Arabidopsis thaliana: one gene and its partner. Changing the gene in region 1 together with any one later gene gives a genetic interaction. Each region holds a gene or a part of one and is shown on either strand. Other genes may lie near its edges.

Evidence for each region.
Region 2: of CHIP (region 1) and NBR1, changing one enhances a phenotype caused by changing the other (phenotypic enhancement), as found in Arabidopsis thaliana (one study listed by BioGRID).

Annotation. Positions count from the first base shown.
Region 1 is NC_003074.8:2,357,161-2,362,464, reverse strand, and holds CHIP (carboxyl terminus of HSC70-interacting protein), read left to right. Parts: upstream 1-1,915; 5' UTR 1,916-2,163; coding exon 2,164-2,268; intron 2,269-2,573; coding exon 2,574-2,641; intron 2,642-2,750; coding exon 2,751-2,814; intron 2,815-2,970; coding exon 2,971-3,042; intron 3,043-3,344; coding exon 3,345-3,478; intron 3,479-3,568; coding exon 3,569-3,722; intron 3,723-3,807; coding exon 3,808-3,918; intron 3,919-4,013; coding exon 4,014-4,142; 3' UTR 4,143-4,558; downstream 4,559-5,304. Other genes in the region: AT3G07380 (glycosyltransferase family protein (DUF23)), read left to right, coding at 451-623, 1,006-1,141. UniProt on the Arabidopsis thaliana protein: Has E3 ubiquitin-protein ligase activity and may target misfolded substrates towards proteasomal degradation. Regulates the activity of some serine/threonine-protein phosphatases by E3 ubiquitin-protein ligase activity.
Region 2 is NC_003075.7:12,738,850-12,745,173, forward strand, and holds NBR1 (ubiquitin-associated (UBA)/TS-N domain-containing protein / octicosapeptide/Phox/Bemp1 (PB1) domain-containing protein), read left to right. Parts: upstream 1-2,182; 5' UTR 2,183-2,341; coding exon 2,342-2,374; intron 2,375-2,732; coding exon 2,733-3,622; intron 3,623-3,711; coding exon 3,712-3,835; intron 3,836-3,938; coding exon 3,939-4,196; intron 4,197-4,373; coding exon 4,374-4,523; intron 4,524-4,615; coding exon 4,616-5,173; intron 5,174-5,251; coding exon 5,252-5,353; 3' UTR 5,354-5,821; downstream 5,822-6,324. Other genes in the region: MOS1 (modifier of snc1), read left to right, coding at 1-888; AT4G24700 (uncharacterized protein), read right to left, coding at 5,958-6,324. UniProt on the Arabidopsis thaliana protein: Autophagic substrate degraded in the vacuole by non-selective autophagy. Requires ATG8 protein expression to be recognized as an autophagic substrate. Acts probably as a receptor for autophagosomal degradation of ubiquitinated proteins.

The DNA of each region.
Region 1 (5,304 bases):
AATTACGATTTTAAGAATCTTCAATCATATATTCACCCTCCTCACTAATCACTATAAAATCGGCATAGACGAGTTTATTCGATTCTTCTAACTACCATAACACGATAATACATTCCATAAATTAGAAAAAAATCTTATAAATTTATTCTCTTAAATTTAAAACTAACCATAATCAACTAAACAATATTTACCACTTATCTAAATATAGCCAATCATTATGAACTAAACCAAATTCGAATCATTAGTGAGGATCCAATCTTTGATTTGCAACTTATCCTGCAAGATATTTTCGAATATTTTTGAAAATATTAGATCCAACAACCCTAGCCTCCTTCATCACTATAAATATCAAAGTCATTCTCATCACAAACCAAATTGAGATCAAGAACGATTCGATGGTTATTATCATAATCAATTCATGATAGTGAATGATTGTTTGCATAAGTATTCATGACGAAGTGGATGTTCTTCGTTGATGTTGATGAGTTTTTACATGTTCCGGTGAAAGAGACGATTTCGTCTGTGATGGAATCTTTGGAGGAATATTTTCAGTTTACTATTGAACTGATGCCTATGAGTAGTCAGGTTTGTTATTCCGGTGATGGCCCGGCCAGAACTTACAGGTAACATTCATAACTTTGTTGATTTTAATGATTGAACGTTAACCAAAGCCCATGTGTTGTTTATTGAGTGACTTAGAATATTAGTCACAAGTTTTTTGAAGGTGACATATAATATCAATAAGCATCTGATTCTGTCAACACTTGGCCTGTAAAAGTCTTTGTGCATTCTGTATTAGTCTCCTATGTCGGTCACGATCTTTGCTTTTATTGAACATCACATGATATTAGTGAGAAATGTTGTAAAGATTATTTCTTTTGTTTGTACCAAATATTGAATTGTAATTGGTTTGTATATTTTCTGTTTTTAGGAGGGAACATATCGGTTATTGATTTGGTTTAGTTCAGGGACTAATCTAAATGGTATTTTGGTTTTGTGTTTCAGAAAATGGGGAATTGAGAAACTGGCATATAGAGACGTCAAGAAGGTTCCAAGACGGGATCGGAAATACGCGGTCCAGCCGGAGAATGTATTCGCGATAGGCGTACACATGTCTCAGAATCTACAAGGGAAGACATAGCACAAGGCTGAGAGCAAAATCCGTTACTTCCATTACCATGGTTCGATCTCTCAGCGCCGCGAGCACGCACTCCTTATGTGCTAGACACTACAATCCGTGATGTTGGCCTTGCTGTGAGAACGTTCGAGTTGAGAACGATTGGTGATCGGCTGCTACGGACAAGACAATGAAGAGATGAAAAACATGAATAGTGAATCTAATCAATCTTTAGAAAGAAGAATTAGGTGTTAAGATGATTTACTTTGCATTGTTTTCTTTTGGGGGTATATTCTTTTATTGTATCATATAATTTGGGTAATGGGATCATTAATACAGCTTCAAAATACTCTTTAGTATAAATATTCTGTATGATTTAGAAAAAAGGTCTCCTCATAAATGTTATTATCTTTGTTTTGCCAAAAATAAAAGATAAAACATACCAACTTTGGTTTTTAAAGATCTTATAATCAACAAAATAATTACACCATCTATCATTATATTATATTTTTGTCACCATTTTACTTATATCAAATACACATTTAGTAATTGATACACAACTTTAAACACAATAAAATACATGATTCTAATCAGTAAATAGTCTCCATACTAATAAAAGATTCCAATCATTATTTATACCAGTTTTAAAAAAACTAAATATATGTTACTATTTTTTAATATAACACACACTAATTTATTTAATAAAAAATTTATAAAAGCCTTCGCGCGACGGGAAACCGCGGGTTTAATCCTAGTTGTATAAATAATTTACAATTAACCCAATGACCGGTTTATGGTAGTAAACAAAAAGAATGACTATAAGATCCGGATTATGATCCAAGTCTCATCGAGCTGACCCGGTAAAGAGACTAATCTCTTTCGATAACCGATTCATTTAAAATTCCCTTTTGCTTACTTTTCTCTCTCCTTTCATCGAGAAATTTCGCGGCTACTTCTCTTCTGAAACGCACCGGGACGCGCCGTCGCACAAGTTACAGAGGAGTGTTGGAAAGGATAAAGACTTGGTTTTCTGGGGTGCCGTAGATATGGTTACAGGCGTGGCTTCCGCCATGGCGGAGCGGTTAAAGGAAGACGGAAACAATTGCTTTAAGAAAGAACGTTTTGGTGCTGCCATTGATGCTTATACCGAGGTACATGGTTCTCACTCTCCTTCTCTCAATTTCATCGTTAGGGTTTTGTGTTTTCCGAGATTTTGATTGAGATCTGCGTAGAGTAATAAACCCTTGATTATAATTTCGAAATTGGACAATTCGTTTGTGAATCAGAACTTAATTGCATCCAAATTAGGTTTTGATGGAGTGTACAATTCGAGAATAGACATTTGATGGAATTTATGAATCTTTTATGTGCTCATCGTTATAAGTCATCAAGAAACTTCAGGCTTATTCAATTGTAGTGGTTTTTCTTATCATTTTTTTTTTGTGTAATTGAGTAGGCAATAGCTTTGTCTCCAAATGTTCCTGCTTATTGGACCAATCGAGCACTTTGCCACATGAAGCGAAAGTGAGTATTGTTCTGTCAAGCAAATTTTATACATACTTCTGATTAGGCAATCCTAATGCCCAAATACTTTATGGTTCATGTTTGGCTTCTTTGCTTGCATCAAATTTAGGGATTGGACTAAGGTTGAAGAGGATTGTCGCAAAGCTATTCAGCTTGTCCACAATTCCGTCAAGGTTTGACTCTTTTGATTATATCTAAATGGAATTCTTTTGCTTGGTGTGCTATGTATGGAATATGTCAAGTTTTTTGTTTTGTTTTATCTTTTCTTGGCCTTCTTTGATCCTTTCTTCTCCATCATATGAGGATTTTACAATTATGTTCTGTGGCAGGCACACTACATGCTAGGACTTGCATTATTGCAGAAGAAAGAATTTACTAATGGAGTCAAAGAATTGCAAAGGGTAAGGATCTTTGTTAGTCCTAAGCTTTTTTCTGTAAAATTTATCAGTGGACATGATTGTTTAAGTCGTAACGTTGAGACCTAAGTAGTGTAGTTTCCAAGCATCTTAATGAAGATGTGAGGCACCACTTGAATCTCCATCTTTTTCCTTTTGAAAGATGTCTAAGTGGATACTGTGGACACTTGTTTTAGTTAGAAAAATCACTAGAGATGGGTTGGTTTGTTTATGCCATCAAATACTGCAAACAAATTTTGGTTTGATACCTGTTTCCTGTTAACTTCATGTAGCTACGTTTCATATAGGCTTTAGATCTTGGAAGATGCTCGAATCCAACAGGATATATGGTAGAAGAAATATGGGAAGAGCTTTCTAAAGCAAAATACATGGAGTGGGAACTGGTTTCTGCAATGCGGTCATGGGAACTGAATAGTTTGAAGTAGGTTCTGTAACTTTCTTAATCCAGTGCTATCATTCGACTTGGAACTGTGCTTTTGTGGCTTTATGGAACTATTCATGTTTGTGTTAGGGAAACTTGTGAGGCTGCTCTTAATCAACAACGTGCTTTAGATATGTCTCGAACAGAAGAGTCCTCAGACGAAGCATATACTGCCCATACTGAGCGTTTGAAAGCTCTTGAACGAGTGTTTAAGAAAGCTGCAGAAGAAGATAAACCAACTGAGGTGCATTAAATTTTCTTTAAAAGCTTTTAAGACCCATCGTTCATTTATATTTGAGGTCAAATACATTTCTGGTTTTTCTTTTCAGGTGCCAGATTATTTATGTTGCAATATAACTCTTGAGATTTTCCGAGATCCTGTAATTTCTCCAAGTGGGGTTACATATGAAAGAGCAGCAATCCTTGAACATCTCAAGAAGGTTTGCATTATCATCGCTCTTTTCTTGTAGCCTTAATCTCTATAAAAAATATTCCTCATTCCTGTTAAGGTTTGATCGTTTACACCACTTGATAGGTGGGGAAGTTTGATCCTATAACTCGTGAAAAAATCGACCCGGCTAATCTCGTTCCAAATCTGGCTATCAAAGAGGCAGTGGCAGCATATCTAGAAAAACACGTCTGGGCTTACAAGATGGGTTGTTGATCGAAATGGGGATTAACATAAACACAATGAAGCGGATGAGAAATTGAGGTTAACTACTCAGGTGACCGAACAAAACAGATGGGTGCGTTTACCTTTTTTCACATTTGTGTTTGTTGTTGCCGATGTTTTCAGTGTAAGATTCTCTGCCCTGTGTATATATTACAATGTTTTTTTGTGCACTCTGTACACATTGGCCATATGGCTTAGCCTATATAACACACATACAGAATTTATTTACTATTGAGGAAAGCCCAATAACATACATACAGATATTGTTTATCATTGAGAAAAGCCCAATAACAGACAGATTTAGATGCAGTTCTCTGACGTCAACAAGATTGATGAATTGTATCTCATTAGGATGTAGTCCAAGGCATGCTTAAGTATTTTTTGAAACCTTCTTGGACCACTCCGGTTCTGTGCCATGAAAAAAATCTGGATTGTGTGATTAATCATCTAAAATAAAACTGAAAGCCTGAAAATTCAATATAAAAACAAAAAGTTGTCATGCAATAGTGTAGAAAAACAATGATTTAGTTGAATGTTCATCAAAGTTGAAAGAAAGCAAAAGACATGGGCCATCATAAGGTATTCAAAGTATTGAATGAATTCTGCCTAATAAGGCGTAAATCTTGGGGTCTTTTAAATAGAAATAAAACTACTATTTTCTTTATCTATATGATTTCCACTGGGGACACATAAAAGGTAAACCCACCATTGTGGTTGTGGATTATTACGATTCTTTTTCTTCCTTTATGGGATTTATTTCTTTTTTTGTATCCAATGAATTGTAAACGTTACTTCTTGGGGATAAAAAGTTAAAAAGAAAGCATCAAATTCTTTCTTTTCTTGGCTTTTCTGTGAAAGTTTGGTGAGGAATAACACCAAAGAGTGGTTTAGGACGAATCCATATTCTATCCTCTCTATTAAATATTCCATTTTTTCAACTTTCTCACGATATGTTGACCTGTAATTATTACGAATCACGAGTTTTAGCAATTTCGTGATTCAATTCTAACTTCCAAGCAATCCAACCAACCAAATACATGTGATTTTTATCATTACTTACATGCTTCTTGCCTTGTCTAGAACATTTTTTAGAAATATATTACAAAACTACTCCGTTATGTTTTCTAACAAAACTTATAATTCATCAGTGATA
Region 2 (6,324 bases), on another chromosome or scaffold:
AACTATCACTCTAGTAAGCAAACCGAACAAATTGCTGCCAAGGATCAAACCACATGTAATAAGGATGGATGGAACGATGGCTGGTATATGACTCCTGAAACGCATTACTCTGCTGCCGAAGAAATGGAATCCAGTGCTGTTGGAAAAGATCAAGGAATGAGCATGCACGGCAGGCAGCATGCTTCAAGAAGCAACAAGGATGGAGGAAGCAACTATGGTGACCCTAAAAAAGGCAATAAGAGGGATTTCAATAAAGCTCATACGCAGCACTCTGGCCATGGGTTTAGCCAACCAGATTTGCCTGCTGCTTCAAAAGAAGGTCGTGTCCCTGGAGATCATGTGTGGCATACAGCTAATAGGACAGGTAAGTATGGTGGTCGTGAAAGTACAAGGGACAAACCTTATGGATCTCAGGAAAAAAATGTTGTTGGATACGAGCATCAAGGGTTTACTACAGAACAAAAAACGACATCAGCTGATACACAAGCCCAGTTGCAAAACCGATCTACCAATAAGGAGGTCCAGGTTGAGCAAAATCCGAATAGTATGTTCCAAAAGAACACAGGGCAGGGTCGACGGTTTGGAAGAGGGCAGGAGTCACAAGGAGGTTGGGGTTTACCGGCGCAAGAGAATATGCACCATCACCATCAGAGGCCACCTTCAAACAGAGATAGACAGAAGCAAAATCTGCATTATGAATACAAACCTGTTGGGTCTCATACTTATGATGGAGAACGTAGTCGAGAACAATCGAAAGAGAGTTCTCAGACAGAAGGTCCAAGATACAGAGAGAAGGGACAGGGGCAGCAAAGGCAGGGTGGATACCAACAGCAAAGGGGTACTAGTGGGAGAAACGGTGGTCATGGATTCACTGGTGATAGAAACTAAGATTGGCCTCTTATTGTTATTTAGGTAGTAAGAGCTGCCATGCTGAGGATACTTGCATTTTGAGATATGGCGATTGAGGAAGCTAATTCGTAGGCACATAGCTTGGGAGATTGCTGAGAGGAGACCTATCCGAGGAGGTATTGGCAGATTAAAAAAAAAAAGTCTTTGTCTTGAGAGTTTATTATTATATGTTTCAGTCACTTGTTTGAATATGATTATAACTACTGTAGTAGCCTTTTGTATACACTAGATGAATACTCATGAGTATTTTTGTTTTTAAAGTTGCTTAAAAAAATATGATTATGTTTTTTGGTTGATTTTGATGTTCATTTTGATAAATTCCTATCTATTTAATATAATTTTTTTATTTTATGATTAGATTTATCTATAACTCGAAATATCAATTCTAGTATAATATATATATTTATATCTATTATTCTAATATTTTATTGTCATGATCACATATAAAAACAATATATGATATATTGATACAATGTATGCGTTTTGAAACTTGTCTAAATTAATTGTACAAACAATTATTTATTCCATATATTCTCTTGTCATCAACTACACAATCACATCATGATATGCTAGTAATTCAAGTCACACTTTAATTCTTTTCACTTGCATATAGCCATATAGAATCTCATATTTTTTTTTTTGTATGTCGAATGTCGAATGTCTCAAATGACTATTATATTATAAAATTGTATATCAATGTTACTAAGTTATTAGAACGCACCAAAATGTACAGAAAAAGTTCATATGATAAATTATATTCACAAAACGTAATAATAAGAAAATATCTAATTAAATTTACTAAATTTATATGAGGTTAGGTAGCAAACATAAGAGTTTTAAGAGTTTGGATTTTGGAATTGGTGGTGTTTGTTTCTCAAACTTCATAAATTAGAGTTTAAAATGTTTTTTTATTTTTTGTGGTCGGCATAAGAGTTGAAGTTTTAATAAAATAAAATAGTATCTGATCATTTTATTGGAGAAAACATAAAAGATGTAGTATTTTATAAGAACTCGAATTGGTCAATTTTCAAAATGTTAGTATGAAAAATAAAATATCTAGTTATATGTACTCGTATCTCTTGATATTTTTGGCTTTAACTTAGGGATGTTAGTTTGATTTGTCTTTCTGGATAAGCCAGTAGTAACCAAAAAAGTCAAAATCTTGTTGGCTAAGTCAGAAATTAATTAAATAAACAAAAGGGCCCATTAAATTAATTATTTTAATAAATATTCTGTGTAATGATATATAGTATAAAACGCGACCGTCTAAATTCTTGGTTGTTTACGAGAAAAGCGGATTACGGGTACGCTTCTTCTAAGATAAATCTCTCCCCGATTCTCTCTTTTTCTCGCTAGATACTCTTTTTCTTCAATTAGGGTTTCTTCTCGCTTGCCTTTTAATTCTCTCCAGCTGATCTGATCTCCGTTACCGATGGAGTCTACTGCTAACGCACTCGTCGTCAAGGTTAGAGATACAACCTTCCTTTCTTTATTTGCGAATCGTCAGTTTTCTCACAGTAATTGTCGGTGATTCTGGGTTTTCGTGGCGATCGTCTCGTTTCTGTTGATTTTGTTGCTTGTAATCGGTCCTTTCCTTTTGAATTTCGCTATGGATCGACTCTCTCTCTCTCTGTCTCTGTATTATAATCTTAAGTGTAATTCGAAAATTTTCCAGACATACTTAGCAGTATCTGCTTGAATCTTATACCCGAACAATGATTAAAACTATAAGTTATCGTAATTAGAATCGTAATCTATTTCTTCGACAATTTTTTTTCATTTTTTTCATTGAAGTGATACTAATTTTGTTTGTGATTATGTAGGTGAGCTATGGAGGTGTGCTTAGGCGTTTCAGGGTGCCTGTTAAAGCTAATGGACAGCTTGATCTTGAAATGGCTGGTCTTAAGGAAAAGATCGCTGCTCTCTTTAACCTCTCTGCGGATGCTGAATTGAGTCTGACTTACTCTGATGAGGATGGGGATGTGGTTGCCCTTGTTGATGACAACGATCTCTTTGATGTTACTAATCAGCGTCTTAAGTTCTTAAAGATCAATGTGAACGCTGGCGTGTCCACTAACTCTGCTGCTCCAGAGAGTAGTGGGAGTTCCACACCTGCGGGTATGCCTAACCCGGTTTCCAAAATCCAGAAGGGTATAAATGATGTTCTGATGGCTGTACCTAACCCGATGCGTGATACCATATCAAAGGTGTACATGGACCTTGCATCCAAGGCCTCAACTTCTAGTCCTGTAGTTGGTGAGATGCTTGATTGCATTTCCAAGCTAGGGCAGCTCTCAATTCCTCAGGAAAGTAGTCCTTGCTCACCTGTTACCAAGCCTGGTTCTTCAGGTGCTTCCCTGAGCAGGGATGTTCCTTCCGCTGGTGGAAAGAAGGATATCTCTGAGAGGACCCAGACCGGAAGGAAACCTGTTAATCTGAATGAACCCACTGGCGCTCATTCAAAGACTTCTGGTCATGTACCAAACTCGTCTGGACTGGGTGCTAATTTCAACGAGTGTCCCTTTAGTGGCAGTACCATGAATTACTCCTGTCCAAATCCAGTTAACCTCAACAAGCATCCTCGTCGTGTTTGTCATTCCAAAAAGAGCACCAATGGTGATTACTGGACTTCATTGGGTGTATTCCATAAGGGCATCCGTTGTGACGGATGTGGAGTTCTTCCAATTACTGGGCCTAGATTTAAGTCGAAAGTGTAAGGATGCCTTCTACTTACTACTTTAGAAACTATAAACATGCTAGAACTTATTGTGCTTATATGTTTCGCTTGTGAATATTGTGCAGTAAAGAAGACTATGATCTGTGCACCATCTGCTATTCGGTGATGGGTAACGAGGGGGATTACACAAGAATGGATAAGCCTGTATCCGTTCAACATCTGCATCCTTTTAGAGGACCGTTTACCCAAGTATTGCTCTTCTTCTAAGTTTATAATTACTTTTCTTCTTGTTTATTCTATGTGTCTTCTCTGATAGCTATGAGGAATTCTTACCCTTTTTTTTTTGGTATAGTTTCCTAATCCTTGGTTGAGCCACCCTGTGCCACGAGCAACCAATGGAGGTGCACCTCTCAGGTGTACTCGCCCTAAACTAGACAGTCGGTTTGTCCTTGATGTGAATGTAATTGATGGAACCGTTGTTGCTCCATCCGCCCCATTTACTAAGATTTGGAAAATGAGGAACAGTGGTTCGCTGGTGTGGCCACAGGGCACACAGATTGTCTGGATCGGTGGGGACAGGTTCTGCAACTCCTTGTCAGTTGATTTACAGGTTAGAAACAATTTCCTTAGTTTTCACTCTTTTAGCTCGATTCTTACCACTAACAGAGCAATTATGTTGTTTGAATTTACACTCGATGGCTTGAGTTAGGTTGTTTTCTTCACGAAGTGACTATAGCTGCTTGATTATATAATACTAACTGTTTTTTTCTCTCTTTACACATGGCAGATTCCAAAGGAGGGTGTGCCTATCTATAGTGAACTTGACGTCAAAGTTGATTTTGTTGCACCAGAGTTACCTGGTCGATACATTTCTTATTGGAGGATGGCTACCTCTGACGGTGCTAAGTTTGGGCAACGTGTTTGGGTGTTGATACATGTACTTACTAGATTTGTGCAGCTTCTGTCCTTTAATTCTTTGTCTCTTTCTATCATATGTGTTTGATACATTTTTTCTTTTTGCATGGTTAGGTTGATGCATCTCTGAAGAATTCTGTTGTGAATGAGTTTCATGGACTGAACCTTAATGCCTCCCCCTCCCTTGATGAGAATTTTCCAAGCGAATTTCTAGGGATTATGAATTATGAGTCAGCTCAACCTGGCAGCTCCAGTGTCAATCCTGGGACCGTGAAAGGTACTGATCTAGAGGGCGAAGTTGGTGAAACACAGGCCGTGGAAAAAGAAAACCTTTTGGTTGGTGAAGCTCATCCTGCTATCCCTCACGGTCATTCTCCTTCATCTTCATCTTCTTCATTTAACATGGTCGACTTCCCAAGCATGCCTGCTGTTGAGGTCTTGTCTGGTGGTTCTTCATCTACTACAAAAGACGTGCCAGTTCCTCTTCAGGAGGATATAGAAAAGAATGACGTGGAGATAACCATGCTCAAGGAGCTCGAGGAAATGGGTTTCAAGGAGATAGATTTGAACAAGGAGATCTTGAGGGATAACGAGTACAACCTGGAGCAGTCTGTTGATGCTCTTTGTGGAGTTAGCGAGTGGGATCCAATCCTAGAGGAGCTTCAGGAGATGGTAAGTGTGTCTGCACTTGGTGAATTTATTAAATCTTACTTTGCAGATTGGAATGTTGAAAATATTGTGATTTTGCAGGGCTTCTGTGATGATGTGACGAACAAGAGACTGCTGAAGAAGAACAATGGAAGCATCAAAGGCGTGGTAATGGATCTCCTCACAGGGGAGAAGGAGGCTTGATGAGCTCTTTGGTTTCTGGCAACTCTTCTCTATCTCTCTTATCTATCAGGAATAATTATGTTTTATAAATAAAACCTGATCTCTTAGTTTGGTTTCGTGCTGCGTCACATGGTCTGTTCCTTTGCTTTGTGTTGGGATGATGTTACTATGTTAACTCTATCTAAGACATGGATGGTTTCTTTCTTATTTCAGTTTAGTTTATGTCGTTCTGCTCCTCGGGTCAAATGAATGGTTGAGTCTTTTTTATTGATTTCATCACTTTAGGCCTTTTTGGTCTCCATTTCTCAGCTGTATTTGGCTTAATGTGAGTTTGTGAGAAGAGCTTTCCTTGAAACAACGTACTGTTTTAATTCACATTTACCCTCTCATCTCTCTCAATCAGGTGACATTTTCACGTGGTCGAATCATCGGCATGGCAGTTGCAATTAGTCATGGTGGTCGGCTTCATTAAACTGTTTACAACTGACAAAACTTTGTTATTCTATCCATAGAAACCATTCAAAAACCAATAAAAGTTTTTGAATAGACCAATAAAAGACATTCATAATTGATTTCACTTTTTGAGAAAAATTTACAAGTTTGAAGTAGTAACATGATGAGTTTGTTAGAATCTCTTTGAAGACGAACGAGTGAACAAACTCCTAAGGCTGTTTCTGCTGTCTCTAGTTTTCTTCTTCTTCATCTTCTTGAGGCCATCATTATCTGAAGAAGAGAAGGTTTGTTCTTCTAAAGTGAGTTCGCGTTCCAGTTTCTTAGAGACCGAAAGAATCTCGTAGGGATCCCACAGCGACTGTCCGAATTCCCAATCCAAAAACGACGGATGATGCTTTGCGGACAAGGCTTCCGTTTTGAAACGTGATGCCTTCCCTTTGACAAAAGCATGCTTTCTCTGCGCATCGAACTCTAAAACAGTATGTTTTGAGGTTTGGGAGTGGCTGAGCCAAGCCTGCGCAGCTGCCTTCATCAACTCT